Rhinolophus ferrumequinum: one gene and its partners. The protein of the gene in region 2 interacts with the protein of the main gene of each other region in a pairwise test. Links are inferred from orthologs where the notes say so. Each region holds a gene or a part of one and is shown on either strand. Other genes may lie near its edges.

Region 1 (7,962 bases), on a different chromosome or scaffold from region 2:
TACTAGTGTTTGGGAAATTGGCTAAATATTTGGAAAAATTAAGATACAACTAGATTCTGACCTAGGATACAAAATATACATATTAGTATATAGTATAGTATACTGTATTTATATACCCCACATAAAAAAATTAAGTCCCAAACAATGTGAATTGACTAGAATTCCATTTCGAATAGTCTTAAAATTGAAAAGCTAGGTCTAAAGATACTGTGGAAATGCTTCAGAGGACATTTTCAGTGGGAAGTCTACAAGCAATACAAAGTCAACATATTTACTTAGCTCAGCTTATGTATGTTAGAAGCACGATGGTACAAGCCGACTTCCTAGGAGGAATAAAGACATATATGAAATCTTTTTCTCGGGGAAAATGAATGCGATCAAATTAAAGATGAATTGAGCGTGGAACAAGAACCAAGCTGAGAGGCAGCCCCAGTAATGCTGTGGGTATAATCCCCAAAGTGTGAAATAATCCTAGGTTTGAGAAACGCATCTGATACAAATGTAGGGGAACATTAGTGTGTGTCTGCGCCATGGGAGCCACATTTCCAGCTCCAATTGTCCATTGCAAGTTTACTACATGCTGCTGACTCTACCAGCTTGTCGGGTCACCCCCTTTGGTGCGTTTTGAGTAGGGGGTCTGGGGGCATTGGCTTTTGCGTTTGTGCGCTGTGTGTGTACTGGGTTAATATCAGGTCTTGGGACTCAGAGGGGGCTCCCAGATCATCAGCCTCACCTCGAGCTTGTTGGAAATGTGGTATCTCAACCCCACCCTCCGAATTAGAAAATGCATTTTGACAAGATCTCCACCCACACCTTAAAGTTTGAGAAGCGCTTAAAACTTAAAACTCTGTTAAGTTTAAAGAGAGCAATAGTAGCCACCTGTGGGTAAAGCCAAGCTCGGTCCAAGTTTTACGTAGAATATCCTTGTCCCAGCTTCTCCATTAATCGAGAGGTTAAATTTCATCCTTTTGGATAAAAGCTATAACTTCCTTTTTACCCTGACTTCACTTGATCATCCGCCCTAATTATCTAAAATATGACCCAGACTTAGGAATAATTTAAAAACCATTCCAGGTGACCAGCATGGACGCCTTGATATCTACATATCAGAGTTTCTACGTTTTACCTGTTGGTGAGATCTCAGACCCTTACAATTCTAATCATCTTGGTGCTATGGTCCCCTGCACACACAAAACGGGAAGCAGGAAACTAAAAGTAGGGCACAGGGAAAGAAGTAAAGTGCAGGTTTGGGGTGAGGTATACAGTGAGAATTGACGGTAGAAAGAATAGCTTTAACATTTTCACAGTTATTTAGTTTTATAAATCTTGTTCCCACCTCAAAAACAGTAATTCAAATCATAGAGACGTGATTGTCAGACTGGCTGCACTTTAAATTAGCAGAGGAGACCCTAAAAAAAGAAAAGTTGTACCCAAGCCTGCATCTCAGGAATTCTGGCCTCATGGGTATGGGGTGGGGTCCAAGCACAGTTGTTTCACAAAAGCTTCCTAGGTGATTCTATTTAGCAGTCAGGGCTGCGCTCCACTAGCTTAATGATTTGGGGCCATTGCAGGGCCCACAGGCCTGGATGCCTTTACAGGCCCATTACAGCTTGCTGTAATCATGGGTGATGGTTACCAGGATTTTCTCTAAAGAGGAAAACACTTGATATATTAGCAGCAATTGTAACAGAACATAAGATAACCTAGAACTAAATGATACAGAGACACATATTCAGCTCTTGGGTCACAGAGAAATCTAGAGGGACTGGTGGAAGGAGGCCGACACCTATCATCTCTCCCTCCTGGTCCTGCCTCTGTAACGTGCCCATGAAGCACTGGGGGATCTTGTTACAGTGCCGATTCTGACTCAGTAGGTCTGGGGAGGGCTCGATATCCTGCAATTCTCATGAACTTTAAGTGATGCTAACGTAGGTGGTCCGGGGGCCAGCCTTCAGGAAGCAAGGCTCTGGTTCCTACTGCTGGCCATGACTCACCCTCAAGGACCTTCTTTGGAACCCGACAAGAAGGATGGCTTCCTCACTCAGGAAAAATGAATTCCACTGGAATCCTTGATATCCAGAACCACTGTGCTCAAAACTATAGGCTTTCCTGAACTAAGGTGTCATGTGGGATGTCATGCGGGGTCTCTGGTCCCACTTCCCGTATAAGAACACAGGACATGGTGAGGCCAAAAAGGAACACCCACGGAGCCATAGATAGGGGAGTCATATCACTAGAGTCTCGCTGGCAGCTGGGTTGGAAACACAGGAAGCAGGAGCCACACTATCCGCAAACTGCCGTCCACTTCTCCCTGCCAATCCACCTCACTTGCTAGCTGCAATGCGCCGTGCTAACTGCAATCTGCGCTTGCTAGCTCAGCCACCATCTTCTTGCTAGGCCCTCATTTTTCTGCTAGCGTAGCAACAGCAGTTATATTAGTGGCCAATGGCTCACTGGTTACAGCTGACGGCCAACTAGCCACAGCTGATGGCCATCCAATCACAGTTGATGGCCATTTACTACCTGAGCCAGCACCTTTCCACGTGAGGCCGAGAGCCTGGAAACTGCACTCCTGGCTCTGTCCCCACATAAGGTCGCGAATTAAATCTTATCTTCTGTTAACCGTTCCCTCCTCCCACTAGGCAACTCTATCAGAGGTTCAGGGTCTGTTAGTTAGACATGGGCTTAGAGAACACCTAGCTTGGCCCATTCATTACAAAAGTGTGGCAATGAGATGGCAAAGGATGGCAAATTTCACAGGTCAAAGTCCAAAGTGGATCCAAGTCAGGACACAACAGCATCAATTAAGAATTCTTAAAAAAAAAAAAAGTCAAAATAATTGCTTTGCGTTACTTTCTGCATGAAACATCCACTTGATTATTCTCAGGGAGCTGGCAGACTAATAAACAAAGCGTTGGAAGGAATACAGAACGCTAAAGTGAGACTGACGGGCTGTAGAGCCCTAAGATGGGGCTGAGAACATGCTGGAAAGGCTCCCTGTCTCTGAGACCACACGACAGACGTTGTTTCCCCTCTCATGAAATGCCATAGAGAAGGCTCCTCATCAGCCTTCTTTCACTTTTCATTTTCTGGAACCCCTTCTCAAACGATTTTCTAAATCCTTCCCAATAATGACGCGTTCTCTTACGCAATAGTAAGAAGCCCTCGTGTGAAACTGAAGAAGTACATTGTTCTTTCAAAGACGGGGATCAAATTCCCAAAACATTCAGAAAAGAAGTGTAGCCAGCCAAATGGGTCTGATTCTTGTCCCATTATGTGTTCCTTTGTGGCGTCTTAGGAAAGCAGAACAACTGCTAATGAAATCGACAGACCCGGTGGCATTCCGGGTCCCGGAGCCATGGATGTGGCTGCGTCAGTGGCCACATGGCTCCTGGGTGCCCGTTCCCTTGCCACAAGAGGCCACACTAGCAGTATTGTTTAAACTGAACTCGTTTACCATTTTCAACCTCAAAGCTCAGGAGGAGGCTGAGACTCCCCCACAGAGCGTATTACCACATAGTCTCGGCTGCCAGGGGCTATCTGGATCTGGAAGTAAAAACAACCCCCAGGGAAATCAGCCTGAAAGCCACAAATTTGAATACTATTAAGTACTAACACCACTAGGGGCTGCACTGGGAAAAAGCTTTGCTGGGCTGGCGTCTCCTCCCTCGGCTCCCAGTTTTACTTGGTTTTTGTCTTCCATTTTACATTCCTGGTAAATCCAATTATACCTCTATTACTGGCGGCCACCACTGCCCCTTCTTGGGCTGTCTGGATAGGCAGAGAAGTAGATACATATCTTTGCTGCCTGGGGATCAGATAGTCACCTCACTTTCATGACATTTAAGAAGACCACAACTTATTTTCTAGGTGCCTAGTCAGAGGGACAGGAAAGAGCTAGGATGAGGCACCAAACTGCTACCAGTGGTGATTTTGGAGCACTGAGGCTGGAGTGCGTTTTACACATTTCTATTTTGCACTTTATTTTCTTAATCGCTTTGACGGACACGTGTTATGGCAAAATGCAGTAAAATTGTTTTCCTTATTTGCTGTAATTTACAGAGAGACAGTTTGGTCATATAAGCCAGGGATTTTTTCATATCCATCGGAGTCTTGGAGTGGAGGGAAGGGTTTCTTTTCAAGTATTGATTTCGAACATTTTCAGTAATGAATTCAAAGCCTATAAAGAGAAAAGCCCTGTTTCTTCACCACCATGTTTCACAATAGCTATTAGATGCGCACAGCAGCATCAAAGCTGTGGAAAATGCATGGCTTTTGTGTAGAAGTGGGAGCAGGGCTTCAAAAGTCGCACTTCGCGGAGGAAATTGATTGTGACACCCAAAGCCACAGGCTGGAGGTGATGACATGACCTGGGGGAGTCCAGGCCCTGTTCCGGCTTGCAAGGGTCCCTTCGGATCCCAGCAGACATGGAGTGGGCGCTGGCTCTGGGTTGCCTGGTGTGGGCTGTGAGTCACGGAATGGGGTGTGGCTCGAAGAGCCACACACCGTGGGTGATGGGACAGTGGGGTCCTAGAGGAGGGCGCCAGCGCTTCAGGACAGAAGACAGGGCCAAGGCTACAGACCAGGGTACCTCCGCATCAGTGGAGAGTTGGGGACAGAGGGCAAGGCCGGCTGGCCTCCAAGGATTCCCGGGTCTGTGCGCTCAGACACCGCCAGGATCCAGGGCACAATTCAGGACTTGGCGCAGGCGCAGCTCCGGATGCTGTGGGTCGCTCCACCACGCCCTGGGCCTGGCCCATCCTGCCCTGCGCAGCTGCCTTATCCTGCCCTGGGCCCCGCCTGCCTTGCTTCCCATTCTCCTCCCGCCCTGCCGCTTGGGGGCGCCCGCGCCATCCCGCTATAAAGCGTCTAGGTCCTGCGTCCCATCAACAAGCGAGAGGCCTTCGGAGGCTCTGGCTCTTGCTTTAGAGCGCCGGAGGGTCATGGGCGAGCTCCCGTTCAGCGTGCAGACGGCCTTGCATCCCGACCACCTGTGGATATGGCGAAAGGCCGTCTATGTAGACGAGAACCAGCGCACTTGGCTGCCCATCTCCATCAAGGTACAGCCACTCCGGGGCTGGGCTGGGCAGGGCAGGGCAGCATGGGTGTCACCATCCCTGGCCAGCCCTTGGGTGCCAAAGACGTCCCAGGCTGTGCACGGCTTCCAGGAGCCCCTCAGGTGCAGCGGCAGGGAGGCTCAGAAGGCCTGATCTGCTCGGGGCTCACAGATGAAACCATTTTGAGCTGGTCTCTAAGGAGAAGTAGTTCTCCAGGCCAGGAAGGAGTGTGGGAAAAAGATATGTTGGCCAAAGAATGGGGACCCAGTGCCTCGGGAGTGTGTGAATGTGATCTTGAGTAAAAGAGGAATTTTCTGGGTTTCAGGGTCCTAAGCCATAAAATGGGAATAATATCTCTCTAAAATAATTAATACGTGCATCCGATTATCAGTCTCCTTAGGTGCGCCCCAGAAATCGGTATTTTAAAAGGACCCTCAATAGATGTGATCACCAAGTTTGTGAACCACCGCCCTAGAGTTTGGGGTAAACAGACTTCACAAACTTATATAAATAATATAGTAGTATAAAAGCCAGTATTAAATAAATGTTGACTTTGTTTTATGTGTGATGACTTAAGGTGGAACTTAAGTTAATGATAACTTTTTTTAAAAAGAAATCTATTTCTCTTTAAGTACTTTCCATCATAGCATGGGTTGCCTCAAAGAAAATTAGGTGGAAAATGCAGAAACTTTCCATATGTAAACCGAAGTAAGAAAGTATAAAACCAAAGTTAAAATATGTAATATTAGAACTTTATGTAATAGCAAATAGCAAAAAGTTATTGAGTAGTGACTGTGTCCCCATTTTACAGGTGAGGAAACTGAGGCATAAAAATGTAAATTTGTCCAAAGTAACACTGCTAGTTAGGTAATGGGGTTGGGTTTCCACCATCTAAATTTGCATCTTTATTGGTATATATGTATATATATATATACTTTTTAAAATCAAGTAAAATATTTACTTTTTTAAGTCAAATATTTAAAACAAATTTAAGTGAAAATCTTTTTAATCTCCAGCTGGGGAATATCTTCTTCAAAATGACTGAAACCACAAAGCAGAGTTTTTCACATAATCATTATAAATTCTGCACAAAACTTAATGCATTAGCAAACAGTGCGACAGGATTTACCTTACGTAACTAAGACGCGTATTCTTAACATGTAAATCAACAAGCAAAGGATGAATAAGCAAACTAAAAATGGTTAAAGGATATGGAAGACTATGTACTAACACAACAAGAATGGTGATTTCCACATCTACACCTTGCAGAATGATCTGAATTATTTTTTAACCCTGAGTTCTACTTTCATTCATGGACAGAAAACTTTTAGAGGCTATTTCCACTTTGGAAAAATAGTCGTTGAACACACATGAGTGCCTAGTTTATATTCCAACAATGATTCTAGGCCGTGGGGGTTTGCAGTGAATGGGATAAAAATCCCACTACTTGTGAAGGTGACATTCTACTGGGCGAGAAGGACCATAGATAATTGAGGTCGGTGTTAAGTTGTGTAGGAGAACAAAGGTGGAATGAGAGACAAAACCAGTGGGGTGTCGGGTCTTCAGGCAGGACCCCCAGGGAGTCTTAATTTCCATTGGCTTGTCATGCTTTTGCCCATTTAATTTGAAACCTTCTGGAACCTCTGTTTTAGGTATGCCTCTTGTGTATATCTAGAATTGGATTTTGCTGAAATTTGTCTTTATAGAAGACATGCATTTGAGTAGATTCCTGCCTAAAAAAAGGGTGTGAGTCCCACTTAGACCTAGGGGAGAATGTTCCGGGCAGACAACAACAGGTGAAAGAGACTACTGGGAGTGTCACACGTCCCAGAAATAGTGCAGAGGCTGTGTGGCTGGTACAGGATGGAAAGTGATGGACAGACGGTAGGAGAGGAGGGAGACAGGCCCGGCTACGTGGGGCTGTGGGCTATGGTAAAGATGTCAGTTCATTCTGCCTCTGATAGGAAGTCATCGGAGCGTGTCCAACAGGGAGGGGAGTGACATACGTGATTGTTAGCCACACACCCTGGCTGCTGTGCCGAGAACTGACACTTGGGGAGTACAGGACCAACCAGGCGGCAAGTTAGGAAGTCATCGAAGTAGCCCAGATGGGGATGGCAAAAAGTGGTCTGTCACCTGATTCTGGGATCCAGGGATATCTTGTTTAAAAAAAGATATATGATAAAATAAAGAAAATCCTACATCAGCTGAAGTAGGCACCAAACCGCAGAGTTAAGGAAGCTCAAGGGCCCCGTGGCACAGCCTAGCTACTAGAAGTTCGTCAGAAAAGTGGGCCTTTGTGGCCCTGTCTGGATGTCCTGGCCCAGCCAGAGTCCCTGAGAGCACGTATGGCTTAAGGAATAGAGTTTCTAGAACAGTGCTTCCCAGAATCTCAGATGCCAGCCAGCCAGGCGAGTGGCAGGAAGAATCTAGTTATTTGTTCCTGGGGGAACCCTGAAGGTGTGCTCTGGTCTTCATTTCTCTTCAGACAGAAGATGGCCTCCGAGTACTCTTACGTCAGGAAGACATCCCCCGGGGGGAGGCTATGCGCCCCAGCCAGCTGCCCCCCAGCCCGCTGCCTTTGATGTGGCAGCTCTACCCTGGCAGACGGTACCGAGGCTCAGACTCCAGTTTCTGGCACATAGTGTACCACATTCAGGCAAGTGTGTGCTTCTGCCAGGGACCCGTTGGGTCATCTTGGGTGGTCCTACTGCCCCTCCCCCACGTCTGGCCTCTGCAGTGTATCTGTTCCCTCCTTTTCTGCACTAAAAAAAAAAAAAAAAAGAGGAGGGAATTTACAACTGCAGATTTTGAAAGGACTGTATTGAAGTTAGAAGTGAATGGTCGGACTACCCTGGGAGGCCTCTACCAGAAGCCCCCTCAGCCGCAGGAACGCCTCTGTGGA
Region 2 (7,811 bases):
TTTCCAAGATGCTGAAAGATATGGGGGGAGGGAAAAAAAAAAAACCCCAGTCAATCAAGCAGGTGAAAAAGCAGACATGAACAGGCCGAGGGTTAATGACAGCAACACAAAAGAAGCCAGAAGCAAAGTATCCCCCAAACCAGAGAAGCCTTGGGGGCGTGCAGAGCTGACAGAGAGCAAGCCAGAGAGGGGATCTCGGCATGCCTCACCTTCCACTTGTCCAATGGGGGCAGCGCAACCCCATTGGAGCGGTTAAGGTCGGACACCAGCACCTTCAGAATGTCCTGAATCTACAGGAGGCGGAAAGGGAAAAACAAGGGCAGGGAGAGACAGAGAAAAGTGTCTTAGAGAGAGGCAAGAGGGCCAGGGAAGGGAGAAGAGATGGGTTCCGGGAAAGAGAATGCTAGAGGAGAGAGAAGAAGGTCAACACCACGGCCTGTGCCATCGTTCCAAACAGCCGCTTGCTGCCTTGCCAGAGGCAGAAATCAACGCCAAGGAACAGATGGAAAAGTCCCCTGAACGATGCACTCACAAAGAGTGGAGTCACCTGACCAGTGCAGCTCTGAATATGCCCATTAGCCCCTCTCCTCAGGCCCAGGCTGCTAGAGGCGAACCTGGCAGGGCTCCAGACCCTCATCTCCATTTTAAAACCTCGATTTCCAAGTAAAGGTTTGCTGAACCAAAGGGGATTACAGCTAAAACATAAGTTTGGAAGACATTATCTGATCCAACAATATCATCTTACAGATGAGGAAACTGAGGCCCAGGGGAGGAAGTCCTTTTCCTGAGGTTACCCAGCAAGCTGTGGCTGAGATGAGCTCGAAACTCCTAATCCAGTGCCTAGGGCTCTCCTCACCACACCCGGGGGCTCCTCTGGTGCTTCCTAAAGGGAGAGCCTGATAGTAAGTGGCCTCCCCTTGAGGCTGGGGATGAGGAAAACCACCAGAGCAGTAAGTCCAATAGCAACTCCCCTTTCCTGAATGTTTACTCTACACCAGGCTCTGTATTTAAGGGATTCAGATAGAAACAACAGTCTCATTTAAACTCCATGAGGGTAAGTAAGTAGTACCCGGATTTTACTGATGTGGAAACAGACCCAAAGAGCTTAAAGAATTTCCCCAAATCATATCCCTAGCAGAGGGAGAAATAAGATTCAAATCCAGACTTCTTAACCAGTACCTGACACTTCTTCCACAATCTAACCACTAAGTTCTAGTCTTCCATCCCCAGTAGCCTGGCCAGCCAAGACTCACCTCCTCAGGCGAGTGACAACCATCAGAAGTGGTTGTCTCACTGCCATTTTTACTTTTCTTTTTCTTCTTTGCTCCTGAAGGAACACCAAGGTTGTTTTTCTTCTGAAATTCTCTCAACTGCAGAGAGGAAACGCAGTAAGACTCACGAGAACTATAAAGCCCTGTATTCACATCCTACTTTACAGTTTACAAAATACTCATATGCGCCATTTGATGCGATGCCACAACAACTCTACAAGGTGTTGTAATTCTCACTTCATGGCTGAAGAAAGGGACTGATCACATAGCCTTTAAAAAAAAAAAAGGCAATAATGGAATTTAAATTCAGTCTTCTGACGCTGAGGTCCAGGGGTTATGCCATAAAGCAGCAGCTGCCAGGGGGCAAAATCAGAGGCAGAGGTGGAAAAGTAAACATTGAAGTGATCAGGCATGAGGGTCCCTTCTTATACATCTATTGAGATGCACAGCAGTACTTCTCAAACTTTGACATCAATGGAGCCCAATGGTAGAAGGCAGTGAAGACACACCCCTAGTGAATCTGCGATTGTAGCAAAGACAACTCAAGCACCATTTTGAGAGACGTCTATTATAATCTTACAAATCTATGTAAATGTAATCCCTAAATGCACTAATATAAAAAGGCTTTTTCTCTCTCAAGAGCCTCCAGCAAAACGGATGCTTCAGTCCCATATTTATCCTGTGGCACTCAGAGCCCCCCATGTTGAGATGATGATTTGGGGATGATTCCCAGCTGTGAAGAGCAGTTTCTCGGGATCTGCTCCACAGAGGACAAGCAGAGCTCACACCAAAGAACACTGATTGAGGGCGAATCTGGTCTCAGGATCATAGGGCATGATTAGAACGTGAGGTAGAGAATTCAGATTAAAAATTAGGAACACTCTCTGGGGACTGGAAACGGGAGAAAACCAAACTAAACACATTCTCCCCATTGCCACCCAGAGATGTGGTCAACGTTTTGAGATCACTAGTGAAATGTAGGCTTTTTACGCTATCAGTGTCTAAGCATGGGGTACAGTCTACAGGAAGCCTGAAACCTCTCCGATCTAGGTCCCATAGTGCCGAGTCCCCTTCAAGGTGGAAATTTGTGCCGCGACCAAAGAAAACGGAGAGAGCGAAAACACTAGGAGGCTGGGTCTTTAGATCGAACACCTGGCTCGCGGCTGTAAAGACGGTTCCGAGGGTGATTGTGACGTAACTACATTCCACTCTTCCCTATGGATGCCCCAGTCGCCGCTCCGCGGAGGGGGAAGGGAGCGCAGGGCCCGGACCGAGGTCCTTAGCAACTGGGAGTCCAGGGAGCCCACGGAGCCCAGAGAGCCCAGAAGGTCCGGTTCTTGGCGGCAGGAGACAAGGGCCGAGCCGGGAGTCCCGGGGGTTACCGGCCCAAAGTCACCCGGGAGCGACAAGCGAGGGCGGGGGCTGGGCTGCCGGGGAGTGGGGGGGTGGGACTGGTGAGAAGATTTTGGTGGGGAGCCAACAGGCTCCGAGGGGCTTGCCCCGTGTGCCTCCGAGGCGGCACATACTCTGGCCACGGCCCAGCCGTCGGAGGGGCCTTGGGCTGGGTCAGGGAGCCGCGACCCGGCACGTTTTACCTTTTTCTTGGCCGCGGCCAATTTCTTCTGTCGGGTTTCTTCCGACATCCCGGGACGGGGGCGGAGGAGGCGGGACAATTTGAGCCACAACCCGACATCCACTGCGGAGTGTGCTTCCGGTCGCTACGGCGCAAGTGCGAGACGGAGCCACAAAAGGAGGGACCGGGGTAACTAGGCCGCAGCGGTGTGGGCGGGGCCTCAATTCTCTAATACTATTGGTCTATGAGAAAGACGTCACGACAAAAGATGTGCGTGCGGCCCCTGTCTCCGCCCACCTCGGGGAGGGGCGGGGCCTTATTTCTCAGGGTGCGCGCGCAGCTCGCTGTGTGACGGTTCTTGGGCTCCATCGCAGGATTCTGATTAACCCGCGGACCTGAGAGGCCGCGCTCCGTCCCTCGCCCTGGACCCTTCTGCACAGCAAACCCCCTCGAAACGGGGGCCCCGGACCCCAGGGCTCAGGAGGTGGGCTAGGAGCGGGCTGCAGGGGGAAAACTCATCCCTTCACAATCCCTGACCTGACTCCCATAAGTCTGCCCCAGACTTTCTCATCCCAGAGATCACCTCGAGACCCCGACCCAGTCTACACACTCCATCCTATCAGAATCTCTCCTTCCTCGAGGATCTCCACCCTGATCCCGGGAGCGTATCTGCCCCCTTCCCGACTGGATCCAGTGCCGGTAGCTCCTACTTCCCAACTCCTCCAACACCCCCACAGTACCCCCTCTTCCCGGAGCGAATTCTAGGTCCAATCAGCCATTTTTTCCCTCGGATTCCTCTCCAGGACTCAACCAGGACTTTCCAAAAGTTGCGGCGGGGCCTTCCGATCCCCTGTGAGTATGCCTGCGCCCCCCTTACCCTCCACCGTGTAAGTACTGCTGCTCCTAGCCGTCCTCTCCATCCCCACAGCAGCTGACCCACCCCCAGCCCTCTCCAAGGTTTCCCCTTATCCGAAGAAACTCTGGGTTATTTCTCAGCCCTTCCCCTTCTTTTCCTCGTGCCCACCAAGCTTCAAAGAAGAAGCAGTGCCCTGTCTTTGTCAATGGCACCCCAGGCTCTCCAAGTGGGCTCTGTCTCTCCTTCCTGACAGCACCACAAGGGGTTGGTTCTTTTTGACACCACCATGCCCTCCCTCACCCATCCCACCCACAGGTAAACCCTTCTCATTCCCTCCAACATATGTGCTCTCTCCTGTCTTAGGGCGTTTGGATGTACCGTCTGTCCTCTGTCTGGAATACTTTTCCAGCTTTTTGCCAAGCTGATGTCTACTCATCCTGTAGAATTGAGCTTCTCAGAGAAGCCTCACCCCCACTTCTAGCTCAGTCCAGCGACCCTGTTAGACACGCCTGTAGCACACTGCACTTCAACTTCAAAGCACTCAACTTCAAAGACTTGTAGTTAGTTGATTAGTTATTTGTAATTCATGCATTCATTAGATAAATTGAATGCCTACTATGTGCCGGGTACTACTGTAGACACAGTGCAATCAGCAGTGAGTCTAACAAAGTCCCTGCCCTCATGGACCTTACACTCCAGTGGTGTAAGGCCGACAATGAAAATAATATTTCCCGGCTGGCCCGGTGGCTCAGGCTGTAGAAGTGCCGTGTTCCTAAAGCCCAAGGCGTCCGGTTCAATCCCCACATGGGCCAGTGAGCTGCGCCCTCTACAGCTAAGATTGTGAACAACAACTCTCCCTGGAGCTGGGCTGCCCGTGAGCAGCCGGAGGGTGTGTGAGCTTCTGTGAGTGGCTGACCTGTGACCAACTGCCTCAGCCTGGGGGAGCGCAAGACTCAATACCAGCATGGACTACACAACTAGACTGAGAAACAACGGCTTGAACGGGGGTGGGGTGGGGTGGGGTGGGGTGGGGTGGCAGAAGAAAGGAGGGAAAAGGAAAATATTTTCACTGAAAGGCATAACATGTCCGGTGGTGACAGATGTCATAAAACATCAGGACAAAGGGATAGTGAGTCTTTGAGAAGTACCCATTTAAATGGGGTGGTCAGAGAAGGCCTTTCTGATGAAGTGTGACCTGTGAGTAGAACTTTAAATGGAGATCTCTGCAAGAAGAGCATAGTTGTTTGGTGTTTTATATTTGGGACTATGCTATCGGTTCCATGAAGGCAGGGGCCAGGCTTGCTGTCTTCTCCATTGGTGAATCCCTGGAGCCTTTGTCAGCTCCTGGTAGTCTTTGTTGACTGGCTGGAAGATTGGAACCACGTCTTCCTCCGTCTGTTCTGGTAGCGTTCATACAGTTGATCCAACACACGTTTCCTGAACAGTAGCAGCATACCAGGCACTCGCCTTCGCAGCTTTGAGAGGCAGAAAGGGCAAAGATGAATTGTAGTCCCAGAGAAAGATTTTGTTATCCAATGAAATAAACCCAGCAACATCATAGACTTGAGAGAAGAATCCAAGTAGACCTGACGTGGATTCTCTGGAGTCAGATATGGTCCTTTAGTTAGAATTGGGTTTGGCTGGGAGTGAATGAAAACCCCAAATAATAATGGCTTTAACAGTCATCAGGGACCCAGGGCTCTGTCTTGTTGCACCTCATCTTCAACGTGGCGTCTATCTCATCATCCAAGACACTGCGCAGCTCCAGTGTCCCGTTGCATACACCATTTCTGATTAAGTTCCATTTGCCAGAACTTAGGTTTAGGGCCACATCTAATTCCAAGGGAAGCTGGGAAATGTGGTCTTATTCGGGCGTGGGGAGGTGTCTATTACCAAGCAGACGTGGTAATATTGAGGAAAACGTGTAGGTTGTGAATGGGGGACAATGGCTCCGTCTGGCTAATGACTTTTTGTGCCACTCAGCGGCCGTCTCCCAAGTCTGGCCAGGCTGCTGGGGCCAACGAGGATTCTGTGCACCTTGACATTCAGAAACTGAAGGAGAAGAGGGACGTGCTGGACAAGGAGCTCTCCCAGTTAATATCTGAGTGAGTCTCACTGGGTTCCTCAGCATCGTTCAGATAACTTTTAACTCGAGCCCAGTAATTGCAACGCAGTCATACTAGCTCAGCATAAAAACAGAACCATACCGTTGGGTTCATGGTGTCTCAGCAGCCTCTCTGGGGTCGGGTGTGGTCAGGCTGGGTGGACCAAGAGCTAGGACTGGAAAGCTGGCAGGAATGGAGGTTATCGCTCTCCCAGTCTCTCTCCAGGGCCCACATTCTCGGCTCTGCACCTGTCTGCACCCGGACTCCATTCTGTCTCTGCAGGTGGGGTTTTCAGTGCCTGGGAGGTGCTGGTTCTTGCACAACTCCTGCGTGTTCTCACACCCCTTGCTCCAGCCACATGGCACAGACTAAGCAGCTTTTGAATGTGCATTTCACTTGAGGGGATCTGATTAGCCACTGGTGTGCCCACCTGTGGCCAGGGTCACAGTAGCAGTGTGGTTGGGACTCCTCCCTAAGGGCACAGGGAGCATGTACCAGGGGCTGACCCCTGCCCTGCTGTAATCTTCAGTGGGCAGTGTCTGTGTTGCCATCTCTATGTCCCCAGTGTAGTGCACCTAGTAGGCCCTTAGTGACCATTTGTTAAGTAGATGCCTCATTACTCTCTGAACCTTGCGTCCTCATCAGCTTTCTTAACGATTCTCTCTCTCCACCCTTTGACCCAGAGGCTACAGTGTGGATGAACTGGACGACCACATCTCCCAGCTGCACGAGTACAACGACATCAAGGACGTAGGCCAGATGCTGCTGGGCAAACTCGGTGAGACGCGGGACTCCAGGGGAGCATCAGGGCTTGGAAGGAATCCCCATCCCCCCCCAGGGGTGGTTGCATTCTGCTCCTGGGCCTTCTCACGTGCCAACCCTCCCACCCTTCACAGCTGCTCCATTCTCTGAGTGCCCCTGCCCTCCGGTCACCTAGCGAAGCAGCTGTACAGCTCCCTGGGGATTTTCCCCTCCACTGTAGAATCTGCTTTGGAGCTGCAGGCAGATTTGAGCATGGGCTCGCCCACCTGCTGCACTGAAGACTAGGGTTCCCAGTCTTCTGGGGCCTACTCACACTGATTAAGACACCATCCTGGCCTCAAGTGGCTGACTTGCTGTAGAGGCAAAAAGTGCAAGGGCGACTCTGTGTGACTTAAAGGGGTATTTTATTCTTCCTTGAACACAGTCTCACTGACCTGAGGGCTTAGCCAAGGCACAGATACCTGTGTGTCTGCGCTGGCTCAGACAGCCCACCTGGGAGGTAAGGACTTGTGTAGGTGGCCGCAGATGCATCACCTGGCTTGGATTGGTGGACACTGTGGCCGGTGACCATTTGGGATGGTGTTCAAGGCAGGGGCTGTGGGTCCAGCTGCTGCAGGACAGGACTTTATTGGGGAACAGTGTGTACTTCCAGGACTTTTTTCCAAGTCGAGTTGTTGTCCTTTCAGTCTTAGTTGTGGAGGGAGCCGTTCAGCTTCAAGTTGTTGTCCTTTCAATCTTAGTTATGCAGGGCGCAGCTCAGCTCCAGGTCCAGTTGCCGTTGTTAGTTGCAGGGGGCGCAGCCCACCATCCCTTGCGGGACTCGAGGAATTGAACCAGCAACCTTGTGGTTGAGAGCCCACTGGCCCACGTGGGAATCGAACCGGCAGCCTTTGGAGTTAGGAGCACAGAGCTCTAACCACCTGAGCCACCAGGCCGGCCCCTTTTATCACGTGTCGTAGAACTGCCTGTCAGCATCCTGGATTCCGCAGCTGGGAGGGCTTCTCTGTGTTTCAGTGGGGGAATGGGTTCCAAAGAAGGGGAAGGAGAAAACCAGGAGGGAAATACAGATGGATGAGGAGAGGAGAATGGGCAGGGCCCAGGAAGACAGGAGCGTGAGGGGCTGGAGTCCTGATGGTGAGGGCATTAGCGCCTGTTAGATAGACCCCAGCTTCAGACCTGTCTACCCTGTGCTACTGTCCAGGGCGTGGGCTCACGTTGGAGAAGCAGACACTTGAAGGTCTCTG
Region 3 (6,960 bases), on a different chromosome or scaffold from region 2:
TCATTTAACATTTTAATCAATTATCTGGCAAGGGCATGATACAGCAAAGTCTCCAGGTCTGCTGATGACCCCAAGCTCTCAGGGAGAGTGAAACGGCAAAATGAAAGCCATGAACTGGGGAGGCTTTCAAAGGGCCGTGCCTCAGGGCAGACAACTACAGATGACATTCATCCCTAGCAAGGTGAAAATCATTCAGGCTACTATTTAAAGATGATAGCCCTAAGCAATCAGCTACAAGTCAAAATGTAGGCCTGAAAATGGCTGAGAATGATGTCCAACAGCTCTCTGCAGCCTCCAAGTCCAAGAAACTCTAAATTTTATCACAAAGCATTGAGGGAGCAAAAGGGAACATCGTCCCACCCTATACATAATCACAGACCACACACACCTGGACTGCTGGGCACAGATCTGGTCATCACACCCCATTAAAGACCTATGCGAGCTAGAAGAGGTCCAAAGAGAGACAGAATGAAAGGCTGCTCCATGAAAAGAAACCCATAAAACTGCCCTTTTTATCTAATAAAATGGAGCAGAGTGATGAGTGGATACCAGCCATGCTCTGGACTTAGCCGGACCTAAGCCTGAATCTTGTCCCTACCCCTGACTAGCCCGGTGGCCGTGGGCAAGCTACTCGGCCTTAGGTTGTACCACCTCTGAACTGAGGCTCGTAGACCCTACGCCAATGGTTCACTGTGGCACAGAACACAACGTCTGCCACACAGCAGGAGAGAAAGGACGTCGTGGTGGCCAAGGGTTAGGAGTCAGACAGACCTTGCTTCAAATCCCAGGTCTGTGGTTCACTAGCTGCGTGATTTGATCAACAATGTGAGACTGCTTCTGAAAGCTTCGGGATGTGGGACTGTACGAGCAGGAAAATATATACCAAATTCTCTTGGTGACATAGGCTGTAGACAGATTGCCTTCAAACAAACAAAAAGGCTCGGGTAAGCACATGGATGCCCCTTCAGAATATAATGAATTAGAAAACAAAACTAAGGGACTTGAAGGTTTGTCTTTAAATTGAAGTTTGGGACCAGGAAAAAGACCAGTGCATGGCTGAGAGAAGGTTTTGTGTTCAAGTCCTACGCCCTACTGCTTAACTGTGTTACCCAGGCAAGTTACTGAGTGTCTCTGAGCCTTTACTTCCTCACCTCTAAAATGGGGAAAACAATAGAACCTACCTCACAAGCTGCAATGCCTGGCAGGGGTATGATTCCCACCATCCTTTGGTTCTTTCTGACAAATTACAAGGCAGCACAGAGTTATACATAAACTGAGGTTGGACGGATACAAGTCATTTGCACACGTAGTAGTTAGTAACAGCTAGCATTTCTTGAGTACCCACAATGTCCCAGTTTACTAAACATTTCAGATGTGTCACTATTATTCAGTCTTATTATTACACATGTCCTACTGAAGGGACTGAGCCCAGCCAGCCTGCCCAAGGTGACTGTTGATTCAAACAGGTTGACTTCAGAGAACTTGCCAGAACACTACCCCACTGCCCAGGACTGAATTCCTTTGAAAATAAACATTTGTAAAATATTCTGTTCTCTTTGTTCATTCACAACAGAAACAACCATTTTTGTGCTCACCTCTCTAAACACGGATGCAGGCATCTATTCACTTTCCATGCTCCATCTTTCTTCTGTCCCAGCAATTCCCTTACACAGGTTTTAATGAGGCTCATCTAAACTCTCATCCCTAGAGAGCAATACTTTTCCTTGTGCTTCCAGAATTCTAATTTACTGTAAAAATATATGACTTAACTCTATAAGTCTAGGATTCCCTTGAAATAGAAACCAATCCCAGTTAATGAAAAAAGTCACAACAAAAATGTTCCTTTTCACTGATATCATCATCATCATCATTTAGTTCAGGGTTCTTAGCACGTAGTTCAGTTATCCAGGAATCCTATATTGGATATCAACATTATATGCACGTATATTCTGGTTTGGAAAACTATGGCGTTCATCAGATGCCTCAAAAAGTCCCCAAAATGTTTTTTTTAAATCATTCATTTAGGCAGACATCCTCTCAAAACAAATTACATTATTATACAAATTGTAAAAGGCTTTGTGTTCTCGAAAGGAACAGTCTCTGAATTCAATGCTTTATGATTTCACGGCAGAGTGACAGCGAAAACCCGAAAGCACAGCATTCTGCTTCTGCAGAAATTCTCTTTATGGGTGATCTTGGGGAAATCACCTAAAATTTCTGGACTCAGTTCCATGATCTGGAAAATAATTGTGTCTTAATAGACGATTTCAAGATTTTTCTCTCCAGCTCTCTGATTCCATGACGTAATATTGCCACCCATACAATGCCAAATAAGACAGAAATTGCATAAGCCACTTACATCACTAATGAGTTCCGTGCATTTTCTGGCCAATTCCATGCTCAGGTCTTCAATAACAGGCTTAAAGAATACCTATCCGGAAAAAAGGGAAAGGAAACATTTCTAATCATCAACTGAGAGGAACAAATACCCTTCTTCAGTAGGTGCTTGCCCACTCACCTTGTCGTCTTCATTTTCGTCTTCCTCTGTTTTTTCCTCTTCAGTTTCATCTTTTACATCCTCAGATACAGGGACCCTCATTTTTACCCTCTCTGTCTATCTATGTAGTTTGTAATTCACTAATGTAGCACTTTTTATGTACTGCAGCACTCTTGAGATCTTGGAGTCTGGTGTTCGGCAGAAATGAGCTTACCCAGGCCTCCTCCCTATTTAGCTCATACTTCACTCTCCTTATCACAACTCTGTGTGAGTGGATGGAACAGATGCCGGAGGTCGGCCAGGACTGCCTCCCAAGTGGAAGTAACATTTTAATAGGCAAAATTCCATTGTATGAAAATGTAAAGTCAACCTTCTTGGAACGGGTTAAGAAATCCAGAAAAGACGATTTATTTATATTTCACTAATTCAATTCACAAAAGAGCTTGAAAAAGACTTCAAGATTCTGGGAAAAACTACTTAGCTATCACATTCAAGATAGCACAGTCCAAAGCCTGTTATCTCAAAGATTCCTCAATTCCTTCTAAATAAAGCTCTCACTGGAATATCAGACATAGCTCTGATCTGCTATCGTGAATCTGGATCATTTAAATTCATTTCATTAATCTAAATTAAATATTTTAAGAGACATATATGTACTTCTCACATTCTAAAAAACACTCACTTTATATTTGCTGATTAAAAGGCAAGTAATTTATTATGGAAAGACCTTTGAACCCTTCAACGAATCTATTCTGACTTAATTATGACTGTTAATCCTATACTGCTATATTATTTTAATTATAAACATGATTAAACATGAGAAGTTGCAGTGAACATAGGTTGGTATATCATTTAAGAATTCTACAAACATCATTGGTTCAAAAAATAACAGTCATACTCTTTCAATTCTGCCCATTGTGTCAAATTTACAAATTCACGAGTTACTTGTATATTCCTGAGTATGCAATACATTTGGAAAAGTTGGGGAAAATGAACTATTACAATGTTGACATGGACCACAATACAATAATGTGGCTGTGGCACATGTCATCAGTTATATAATTTAAAATACATGGTATTTCTCAAAACAAGTCCTTTAATGTCAATTTAGGCAATTCTAAGACTCTGTCCAGCTTATAATTTATCAATGAAATCCTAGGCTTTAAATCCTAGGTTTTTAAGTCCTAGGCTAAATGAATACAGCCACAGCATATCATGTGTTGCACATAAAAGAGACCCTATTGTGAATAATGAAAGTAATTACATAAAATACAATTTTATTCAAAATAATACATCATTGTAAGTAACCAAATATAATGCTGTTTTCTCTTGATAGCATATCCAGCTTGACATTTATTTTTTTAATTGCTTTGGCCTTGCCTAAACTAAAATTCTGACAAGGAAAATTCTACAGTCATCATGTATAGATCATTTCTCAAATTGTGTTCCATGAGGCTAAAGTTCCACAGAATACTCTGAAGGGGAAAAGGGGGATTTTTAAATAAACATGTTTCGGGAAACCTGTATACCAGTATCTACCTCAGCCACTTAGAGATCCACATGGCATGATCACACATTAGGAGCTCTGAGAAGACCCTCGACCAAGAAAAATATTTAAATTTGCTTAATCCAGCTTTCCCCAAACATGAAATCCTACCCATCTAATCTAATCTAACCTATCTATCCACTTAGTTGCCTACCTACCTATTTTTTAATGATATCCAATACTCCAGAAAACTACCATTCTTTTGTGAAGTATTACTTAGGGAAACACTGTTCTATTCTGAAAAAAAAAAAAAAAAAAAAGAATATATAGTGTTCTAGAAGAGTCATTGGTCTTTTCATGAAACAGTTTTCTATACAATCTAACTTATAGCATCACGTATCCTGCTTACCAAAAAATGTCAGAAACAAGTGTCCCACAGGTGCTGAATTTGGAAAACAACATAAAAATAATAGTCATGTCATGCTAGTGTAGAGAATTCTATACAGAAATTCTAATTACATTGTGGTTCTTCCATAAAGGAGCAAAATGTGTGGACTCTGACTGATTCCATCAAGTCCTCTGCCAGGATAATCTAATAGTCTATAGATCTGGTACATTATCTTTATTTGGAAATAGGGGAAAGCATTTTCTATAAGCTTTTCTTGCAAACTTCTAGAAGTATAGGGAGAAGAATCTTGCCACAGCTGCCTAAGATGCACCTCTTAGCTAGTGTTTGAGGTAACAATACTAGTGTATGAGGTAACAATACTACTGTGTGAGGTAACAATACTCGTGTCATGAGGTAACAATACTTGTGTTTGAGGTAACAATACTAGTGTTATGAGGTAACAATACTTGTGTTGCTCATGGTGCTATCTCTTCCCCATGGTGAATTACCTTCATCAGACTGCAACGGCTGCTTTTTCTCATTTCCCATCATGTAGTAAGTTCTTACTGGCTCTCCACTGCGCTGGAAGAAAATAATCTGTTGAGATTATGCACGAAAGTTTCAAAAGCAAAACCCAATACCACATGCAGTGTGAACACAAATTTTGCATTTGAGATTTTTAGAACCAGAATTTTAAAGCCACAGGGATCCTTAAGAAATCAATCCTGCTGAAGCCCTCTCTTTTACAGAGGACAAAAGTAAGGTCAAGAGAAATTAATTATTTGTCTTATTTACGAAGTTATTCAATGGAGCACTAGGACCAGAATTTAACTAAAGCCCAATATTTATGTATTCATGTAAGTGTTGTTATGCCAGGGACTGTGCTTGGTGTTAGAGATGCAATGGTGAGTAAAACATACTTAGTGCTAAGATAAGGTAGAAAATAACAACCCCATCACTCAAGACTTGATGGAATAACTCTTTAATGGATTGTTTGGCAAGCTAGATACATTATTACTTTTGATTGAATGCATTTTTCCTTTCACCTATAGGTATAATACAAAATTCATGTCAAGTTTTAAGTCCTGCATTTTATCACAGCAAAGCACTCTTGTCAATAGCTCCAAAATGTGACTCGGGAATAAAAAGAAATTGTTCTTCATGGATAGTTATCATGTTTCAAAATTCCCTATCATCCTTTTTTCTTTAAACCAAGTTAAATGTTGTCTTTTAATGCATGTTTTCACTTTGGGGCACCTCAAAAAGGGAGTATCTGTATAGTTGCTAATCCCTTTTACTTACTGAGCATTTCATTTTATGCTGTCTACTTTTTGTTTAGTACTAGATCCACGCGCTGACCAGAATGAGACCAACATGAGGATCACATTACTTACAGCTAGACCCCCTACTTCCAGGTCTGGCTCTCCCACAGACTCTAGGACAAATTACTTAATCCTTCTCTAACTCTCCATAGTTAAAAACAGAAAAACTGAATTATCAGAAGTTAATAAAAGAAAAGCACCTTACAAATAACAAAGGCCCTTACAAACACAAGAGTTTTTACCTATCGAATAAAGGTACACCGTTCCAGGAAAAGCACCTGATATGAAAGGATCTTCTCATTTGAAAGGTAAAACTCTATACCACCAATATGTTTTTTAAGGCCAGAAGGACCTACTACAGCATAGCAGCCTAAAGATAAGAGCTAATTTGTGTGTTATAATACAGAAGGCTTTGATCTTTTTAGAGTTTGAAGTTTATGTGTATTTCCATAGAAAACGGCCCTCCCTAGGGTAATTCAGGTCTTGGGGACACAGCCCCTGGCCAAGGAAACCGGCTATACTGCTATCGTGAGTCATATAGTACTTTGTCTTCAGTGCTCTGAAGGTCACATGAGACAAGAATCTCCTCAGTTCTGACAAATATGTCATACTTATTTCACTTTTTTTCTCCTTTTTGTTTCTTTACAGTGATAGAAAATGTGTTTTTCCACAACATAATGATGACTGACTTGCAAATAAAAATCCGTATGAACGACTGAAATAGACTGAGATTCAGTTCTGGGTTGAGAAAACTTACAGACATAAACTGAATTTTTCCATTTTAAAATGTAATTCAAGATTTCTTATTATAAAACATTCACCCTAAATGGTTAGGTGAGAGGGGGATTAGTTCATCTGACTTGTTTCTCTGCCTTGGCAATCTTTCACCTACTCATTTTCAGTTGCCTGGTTTTGTGTTGGTGGGTTGGTTGGTATTTGTTTTTTAATGACTATCCGCCAGAACGTTCTCAGTTGAATTCTTGGTTATTTTCCTTTTGCTTCATATAGTTCCTCATCCTTAGGCATCTGTCCAAAAGAGAACTTTACTAATAGATGAGGGGGAGGAATCATTTCTTAAAACAAGAAATGTAAGCTCTCTGGGGCAATTTGTCTTCTTTATAAAAGAGGAGAGTTCTGCTTAATATTAGCCCAATCTATTTTTACAATTTACAGCCATCACGCCGATCTTCTTCTTTTCAATGGCTATTGCATTACTGTTTGTTAGTTAGAAATCAAAAGAATACAACGCAACTTGAATAACTGTCAA
Region 4 (7,324 bases), on a different chromosome or scaffold from region 2:
AGAAATCCTATTGAATCACAGCACTATAACCGCAAATAACGTGAAAGAAATCAGTATATTTTGTCTCTTGAAACTAAATGTTGCGGGAGAGGAGAGAACTGAAACTGAAGACAAGAATATGCTTTTTAAATAGTAGAATGAAATATTTTGGGGCCAAAAAGACCTGGATTTGAAATCTGGCTCTGATACTTGCTGTCCAACCTTGAGCTAGTACATTAATCGGTCCGAAATCAGTTTTATTATCTATAAAATAGAGATGATAATATTTGTCTTCCAGAGTTGTCACGAGGGCTAAATGAGAAAGCATATGCGCATGTACATATGTGGTACATTACCAACCCATAAAGGGCATTTTCTTTATCTTTCCTCATGCGTCAACTCTTCTCCAAAGTATACTAAATGGGGGGTGGGGGTGGGGATCCCTCATATTCAGTACAGCTCTTCTGGAAACTTTCAGCCCCTCAGAATTTAAAAAGAGGCAAACCATGTTTTTAATGAATGTGAATGGAGGAAATGTATAAGAAGGTTGCATCATTCATTAGTTAGTGAGACCAACTGGCAATATTGTAAGCACCATTGAAGGCATTTCCATTCTCAGGGTTCTGGAGAAGGCCTCAGTGGCTAGAAAGCACTGCAGGACACACTTTCTGTCAGCGAGTCCCAAGCCTGGTCACAATCTATTGCCAGGACCATATCCGCCTTCTGCATACTGGTTAGTGGTAGGCTGTTTTGCACAGAAACTACATCAGGATTTGTTATACAGAACTGCCAGCAAAGTCAATTCAAAAGGCTTCTCTCACCCAAAGACCCAGCCCTTCCATACAAAGAATCTTACCCCTGCTGGACGCCTCTTCTCTTTTCTAACGGACCCTGCTTTGGCTGCTTGAGCGAGAGCTGGACCAACACTTGAGATCCCACAGATTCTCCTAATTCAAGAAAAAAAAAGCGATTTAAACAACAATTGCTGCCATGGTGCTGGTAGTGGTGGTGGTGGTGGTGGACCTGTGAAAGAAGGGTTCAGGTGATCACCTTGACAGCAAAGGTGGGCTTGGAGCTATCGTCTAGAACCTTGCCAGGCTCCTGGTTAACCTTCAATCAATTTTTGGATGAATGAAGGAAATTGTGGGACTAGGTGCTGGAAAGGGCTCACTTCCTCTGCGAAAGAGAGACTTTGGAATTCCCAGGGACAGACTCCGGGAAAAGATGAAGTTAGAGTTGCCTCTATCCCAGATCGCAGAAACCTTGGGGCTAAGTCTGATGGCAAAAGCTTCTGCGGAGCTAGCGTCCTTCTTAACTCAACCTGCTGGGGCACTGCCACCTTTGTGCATTGCCACCTGAAGTACAGTGGGAGGGTAGATACCCGAGAGAGTCACTTGATGTCTACCTTGCTTTGATTAAATTCATAATAAATGATCATTCCGAAATACAAGGTCTGAGAATTAAGCTCACGAACCTGTTGCAACAATGTTGCTAACCTTTTTTGATATCAGAGGGCTTATTCATTATGAATTTGTACCAACTGGACAAACGGTTATCCAAATTTACTATTTGGAAGTGCTGAAAAGGCTGCGTGAAAAAGTTAGACAACCTGAACTTTTCACCAACAATTCATGGCTCTTGCATCACGACAATGCACCAGCTCATATCGCACTGTCCATGAGGGAGTTTTTAGCCAGTAAACAAATAACTGTATTGGAACACCCTCCCTACTCACCTGATCTGGACCCTAGTGACTTCTTTACCTAAAGATAAAGGATATAGTGAAAGGAAGACATGTTGATGACATTCAGGACATCAAGGGTAATACCATGACAGCTCTGATGGGCATTCCAGAAAGAGTTCCAAAATTGCTTTGAAGGGTGAACTAGGTGCTGACATCAGTGCATAGCTTCCCCAGGGGAGTACTTTGAAGGTGACCGTAGTGATATTCAGCAATGAGGTATGTAACACTTTTTCTAGGGTGAGTTTGTGAATTTAGTTGTCAGGCCTCCTATTCACTCATTATTATTAACAGGCATTTCGTACTACCAATAAACATCTACAAGAAGGAGCCTTGAAGGCAAACATGAGGACTTTTCTGCGGGTGCCACATCCTGCTAGGACCTGGAGAACAACCCAGGACCGGTCCAAGCTTGTGCGCGGCGGCTGGGTAAGGTGGGGCCCCATTCCTTCAGCGCCCAGACTGAGGCACAGCTGAGTGCCCAGGAACAGGTTGATTGTTATTTGGTCCTATACCTGCCATTTTTGAGGTGGGTTTGGGGCAGGATCTGGGAAACCTAAGGAGGCGGAGCGGGCCCTTCCTCCCGACGACGCGGCTCAGACCCATCCTTCTGCTGCAGCCCGGCGGGTTCCGGGGCCTGGCAAGGGACGACGCGCCCCGCCAGTTCCCAGTGGGCACAGCCCCAAGTCAGCGGAGCCGCGGGGTCCAGGGCTCTGCGGCAGCGCCGGGCGGGACTGCCCAAGGGAACTGCGGGGCGCGTAGCAAACGGCGCGGGCGCGTGGCGGGGGCGCTCTGGGCTGGGGGGCGCGGGCGGGGCCAACGGCGCGGGCGCGGTGCGCGCGTCCAGGAACAGACAGGGCACAAAGGGGGATGCTTGAAGGCCCAGGAATCTGGGGCTCTGAGAGGAAAGGCAGGGAAAGGGACGTAAGAGGCAATTCGAGGGGTGCAAGGTAACACCGAACAGTTTGGTAAAGGCTTGAGGGGCATCTGATGTGGCTGGAGAAGCTGAATGTCATGGAGCAGACAGAGGAGCGACATACGGAGAATGCGGTTGAGGCCAGATTCCGAGGGCCTGGGGAGGCACATTCAGGAGTTAAAATCTTAAGGGATTCGGAGTTTTATATGTATTTTTTCACACACATGTTTTATTTTTAAATTTAAGATATACGTATCAATATCATATATATCATGTAATATATACAAAAGAATGCATATAGTTATAAAACATGGTAGTCAAATTTCTACCCATGAATACACCATCCTACCTGAGAATCGGAGCATACCTCGCACAGATGCTCCTCCTACCTCTGTTCTTTCCTTATCCCACCTCCCTGCTTCCCTGCCAGAGGTAATCTCTCTCCTGAGTTTTGTGTTTCTTGTGCCCTTGCTTTTTAAGTTTTTTAAAATCTCTCTTCTGTATCCCATTTTAAAAGTTTTTTTAAATCTCTCTTCTGTTTCAATGAGTGCTACATACCTCATTGAAATAATACATTGTTTCATTTTTCTTATTTGAAGTTTTATAAAAATGGTATCATGCTGTATGTTATCTTTTGCAAATGCAAGTTGATTCGTTCAAAGTTGTTCCTATAATAATACACTTTGTATATAGATCTGTAATTCATTTCCCCTGCTGGAAAATATTCCATTATGTGACTATACCTCAATTTATTGATTCAGTGATAAAGCCACTTGTTTGTTTGTTTTTTTCTAATTTGAAATGAGAAGCTATTGAAAAGAACCCAAATTATGTCCTGGTGTATGCATGCAAGAGATTTTAGTATAGGATCTATAGGATATAGAAAGGTATGCAGAAAAAGTAGAGAACCATATGACTTCACACATATGTGGGATATAAAACTGAAAACAATAAAGGAACAAGACAAACAAACAAAGAAACAAAAACTCATAGACACAGACAACAGTTTAGTGGCTACCAGAGGGTAAGGGGAGGTGGGGGTGGTAGAAGAGGGTAAAGGGGGTCAAATATATGGTGATGGAAGGAGAACTGACTCTGGGTGGTGAGCACAGAATGTGACATATAAATGATGTATTATATAATTGTACACTTGAAACCTATGTAATTTTACTAATCATTGTCACCCCAATAAATTTAATGTATGTACATATTTATGTATAGATACAGATATATAGATATAGATAGATAGATAGATAGATAGATAGATAGATAGATAGATAGATAGATAGATACTGGGGGTGCCAAAAAAAGTGTATACAAGTGGACACTTTGGTCAACATTGGTCAAGCAGTATGCCATAATCAGAAGTATCTGGATACTGATGGTAACCACTTTGAACACCTCTTGTAATTGCAGAAGTCAAACGTGACTTGTATTCATCTTTTGTTATTGGTATATATTGAGTATTACAATTTTAATAGTTTTTTCCTTTCTTAAAATGTGTATACTTTTTTTTGGCAACACAGACACTCACACACACACGAGGTCGGACAATTAATTTTGTGAATTCATTCTAGGAAAAGTGCTACATACCTCATTGCTGAATATCACTATGGTCACCTTCGAAGTATTCCCTTTGGGAAGCTATGCACCGACACCAGAGCCTAGTCCACCCTTCAAAGCAATTCTGAAACTCTTTCTGGAATGGCCATCAGAACTGTTGTCATAGTATGCTTGATGTCCTGAATATCATCAAAATGTCTTCCTTTCAATATTTCCTTTATCTTTAGGTAAAGAAAGAAGCCACTGGGGTCCAGATCAGGTGAGTAGGGAGGCTGTTCCAATAGTTATTTGTTTCCTGGCTAAAAACTATCTCACAGACAGTGTCATGTGAGCTGGTGCATTGTCGTGATGCAGGAGCCATGAATTGTTGGTGAAAAGTTCAGGTCGTCTAACTTTTTCACGCAGCCTTTTTCAGCACTTCCAAATAGTAAACTTGGTTAACTGTTTGTCCAGTTGGTACAAATTCATAACAAATAATCCCTCTGATATCAAAAAAGGTTAGCAACATCACTGCAACAAGTTTGCGAACTCAATTGTCAGAATTTGTGTGTGTGTGTGTGTGTGTGTGTGTGTGTGTGTGTCTACAGAGAGAGAAAGAGAAAGAAAGGTATGCCAATGTTCAACTTTTGCAGTAGAAGACTGAGTCTTCCCAATTGATGGTACCAATTTCACTCCTACCAACAATGTATAAGAACTCTTGTGGATTTACATCTTCACTAACACTTAGTACTGTCACATTTAATTTTTCCAGGTGAGTGGATGTAAAATAGTATTTCATTGAAGTTTTAATTTGCATTTCACTGATCACTAATAAGATTGAGACTTTGGCGTGTATTTATTAACCATTTAGATTTCTTCGTTTTAGAAGTGCCTGTTCATGTCTTTTGCTCTTTTTTTTTTTTTTTGCATTTGTCTTCTTATTGATTTGTGGGAGCTGTTTATATATTCCTGACACTCATCTTTTAGTCCATTCTGCTTTTTTACACATATTATGTTCTAGCTCATGCCCTATCTTTTCACTTTCCTTATGAAATTTTTGATGAAAAGAAGTTATTGACTTTAATGAAGTAGAATTTATCAACCCTTTCTTTTGTGTTTGGCTCTCTGTGTCTTTTCATGAAGTCCTTCCTTGCCCTGAAGTCAGGAAAATATTCTTCTATATTTTCTTGTACAAATTTAAGATTTTTATCTTTTTCATTTAATCTGTCTGGAATTGATTTTTCTGTATGTGTGAGGCAGAGAGCCAATTTGATTTTCCTCAAAGGAATAAACACTTATTGATAGTTTCTCTTTCCTCCAGTGATGAGCAGGCCCGCCTGTGTCAGGTGTCAAGCCTTCAGGAATGAGTAGGAATATTGTTGGTGCTATTCTACTCCACTGGTAAAAGTGTCGGTCTTTATGCTACTATCATGTGATATTAATTACGATACCTTTATGATAAATCTTGATATATATATGGATATTTTGAGATTCCCCCTCCTTATTCTTCCTCAGGAGTTTCTTAACTATTCTTGGGCTTTGGCCCCTCCATAAATATTTCATAATTAGCTTGTAAAGTTGTTCAAAATATTCTGTTGGCATCTTGATTGAAATTACATTGGAGCCATAAATCAATTTGGCAATTTTGACTTCTTTACCAAACTGAGCCTTCCAACCCATTACATAGCAGTACTATAGCTTTCTATTTGTTAGATCTTCTTTAATATCTTTCAATGAAGTTTTATAATCTTCATAAAGATCTGATCTTAAGTATATTACATTTTCCCCTCTACTTATTTGGAAGTTTACACGCTCTTATTTATTGTCTTTGAAATTTTAACATGCGTGCTTAAAGTCTAAAAGTAATATCCTAAACACCCTTCTGAAACAATGCAAGGACCTTAGAACACTTTTACTCCAATTTTCCCCTCCCATGCTATTTTAGTTCTGTCCTCTTTTTAAACCTGGAATTCACATTACTGTTGTTACAATTATTATTATATTATACATTATTATATTATACAGACATTTGTTTAGATCGTATGTTTGCCGCTGTCTTTATCATTCCTTTTTGCATCTCAAACCTTCCCTCTAAAATCATCATTCTTCTTCCTAAAATAGACACTGAAGGTCCTATAGTGAATGTTTGTTAACTCCTGGTTGTCATGGAGCTCAGAGAAGGACCTCAGAGGCTCCTGTGGCATCATGAGAAGGAGCAAAAGAGGAGGAGCCAAGGGGAGGTTCAGGCAGCCAGGCTGGGCTGGCCGGCTGCAGGCTGGCTGACTGCAGAAGGAAGGACTCCTACTTCTGGAAGGATCCAAAGGGAGATCCATATGCCTCTCTAAAGCGTCTTCAGTGGCAGAGAGTGCTGGAGTAATAGAAGATGGCCTGCACGTTATCTCTAGCAAGTCCACGAAGCCAAGGCTCCCAGTACTAGTAGAACTGCACAGAGCTCGAGGGAGTCCATGACTGCCCCATGACTTGTCAACCATGTTCCTCCTGCCTGCCCCTAACTGTAGTCTTTCTGCCTTCCCTTCGTTCCAGGGTACTGCAGTGGGAGGGTGCCCAAAGGAACACAAAAATATTTTTAAAGTTCTATAATGTCATCAAATAGCCAATCAATGTTCACATCACCTGATTGCATATATGTTTTTTAACTGGTTTTTGTTGTTGTTGTTGTTGTTTGAACAAAAATCTAAACAAAGTCCGTAAGTTACAATCAGTTGATGTGCCTCTTAATTTCTTTTAATTAAAAGCAGGAGGCAGAAAACTACAGCCCACAAACTAGCCGTCACTGTCTGTTTTTGTATGGCCTGAGAGTTAAGGTTGGTTTTATACATTTTTAAATGCTTTTAAAAATAAACAAAGAATAGTTGTGTGATGTGAAAATTATATGAAAGTTAACTTTCAGTGTCCATAAAATTTTATGTGACTGTAAACATGCCCTTCATTTACATATTGTCGATGGCCACTTTCTTACAATGGCAGAATTGACAAGTTGCTGTGGCATCTGAGACTTTATGGTCTTCAAATCCTAAAATATTTATTATCTGGTCCTTCACAGAAAAAGTTTGCCGACTTCTGCCCTACATGTTTATGCGCCACCTTTTTTTTCCCTTGTAATTTTTTAATTAAAGAAAGTGAGT

Evidence for each region.
Region 1: the proteins of GOLGA2 (region 2) and TCL1A interact in binary tests that used the Homo sapiens proteins (3 or more experiments, as listed by UniProt). The two-hybrid records come from large-scale screens. The link is inferred for Rhinolophus ferrumequinum from reciprocal best matches to the Homo sapiens genes GOLGA2 and TCL1A.
Region 3: the proteins of GOLGA2 (region 2) and NEBL interact in binary tests that used the Homo sapiens proteins (3 or more experiments, as listed by UniProt). The two-hybrid records come from large-scale screens. The link is inferred for Rhinolophus ferrumequinum from reciprocal best matches to the Homo sapiens genes GOLGA2 and NEBL.
Region 4: the proteins of GOLGA2 (region 2) and PLAAT5 interact in binary tests that used the Homo sapiens proteins (3 or more experiments, as listed by UniProt). The two-hybrid records come from large-scale screens. The link is inferred for Rhinolophus ferrumequinum from reciprocal best matches to the Homo sapiens genes GOLGA2 and PLAAT5.

The regions. Positions count from the first base shown.
Region 1 is NC_046289.1:7,766,250-7,774,211, forward strand, and holds the start of TCL1A (T-cell leukemia/lymphoma protein 1A), read left to right. Parts: upstream 1-4,943; coding exon 4,944-5,060; intron 5,061-7,545; coding exon 7,546-7,716; intron 7,717-7,962. UniProt on the Homo sapiens protein: Enhances the phosphorylation and activation of AKT1, AKT2 and AKT3. Promotes nuclear translocation of AKT1. Enhances cell proliferation, stabilizes mitochondrial membrane potential and promotes cell survival.
Region 2 is NC_046295.1:77,184,156-77,191,966, forward strand, and holds the start of GOLGA2 (golgin subfamily A member 2), read right to left. Parts: upstream 3,012-7,811; 5' UTR 2,915-3,011; coding exon 2,867-2,914; intron 1,371-2,866; coding exon 1,254-1,370; intron 291-1,253; coding exon 210-290; intron 1-209. UniProt on the Homo sapiens protein: Peripheral membrane component of the cis-Golgi stack that acts as a membrane skeleton that maintains the structure of the Golgi apparatus, and as a vesicle thether that facilitates vesicle fusion to the Golgi membrane.
Region 3 is NW_022680355.1:6,076,254-6,083,213, forward strand, and holds the start of NEBL (nebulette), read right to left. Parts: upstream 3,021-6,960; 5' UTR 2,600-3,020; coding exon 2,519-2,599; intron 2,432-2,518; coding exon 2,360-2,431; intron 1-2,359. UniProt on the Homo sapiens protein: Binds to actin and plays an important role in the assembly of the Z-disk. May functionally link sarcomeric actin to the desmin intermediate filaments in the heart muscle sarcomeres.
Region 4 is NC_046294.1:7,754,929-7,762,252, reverse strand, and holds the start of PLAAT5 (phospholipase A and acyltransferase 5), read right to left. Parts: upstream 3,002-7,324; coding exon 2,986-3,001; intron 2,594-2,985; coding exon 2,309-2,593; intron 927-2,308; coding exon 836-926; intron 1-835. UniProt on the Homo sapiens protein: Exhibits both phospholipase A1/2 and acyltransferase activities. Shows phospholipase A1 (PLA1) and A2 (PLA2) activity, catalyzing the calcium-independent release of fatty acids from the sn-1 or sn-2 position of glycerophospholipids.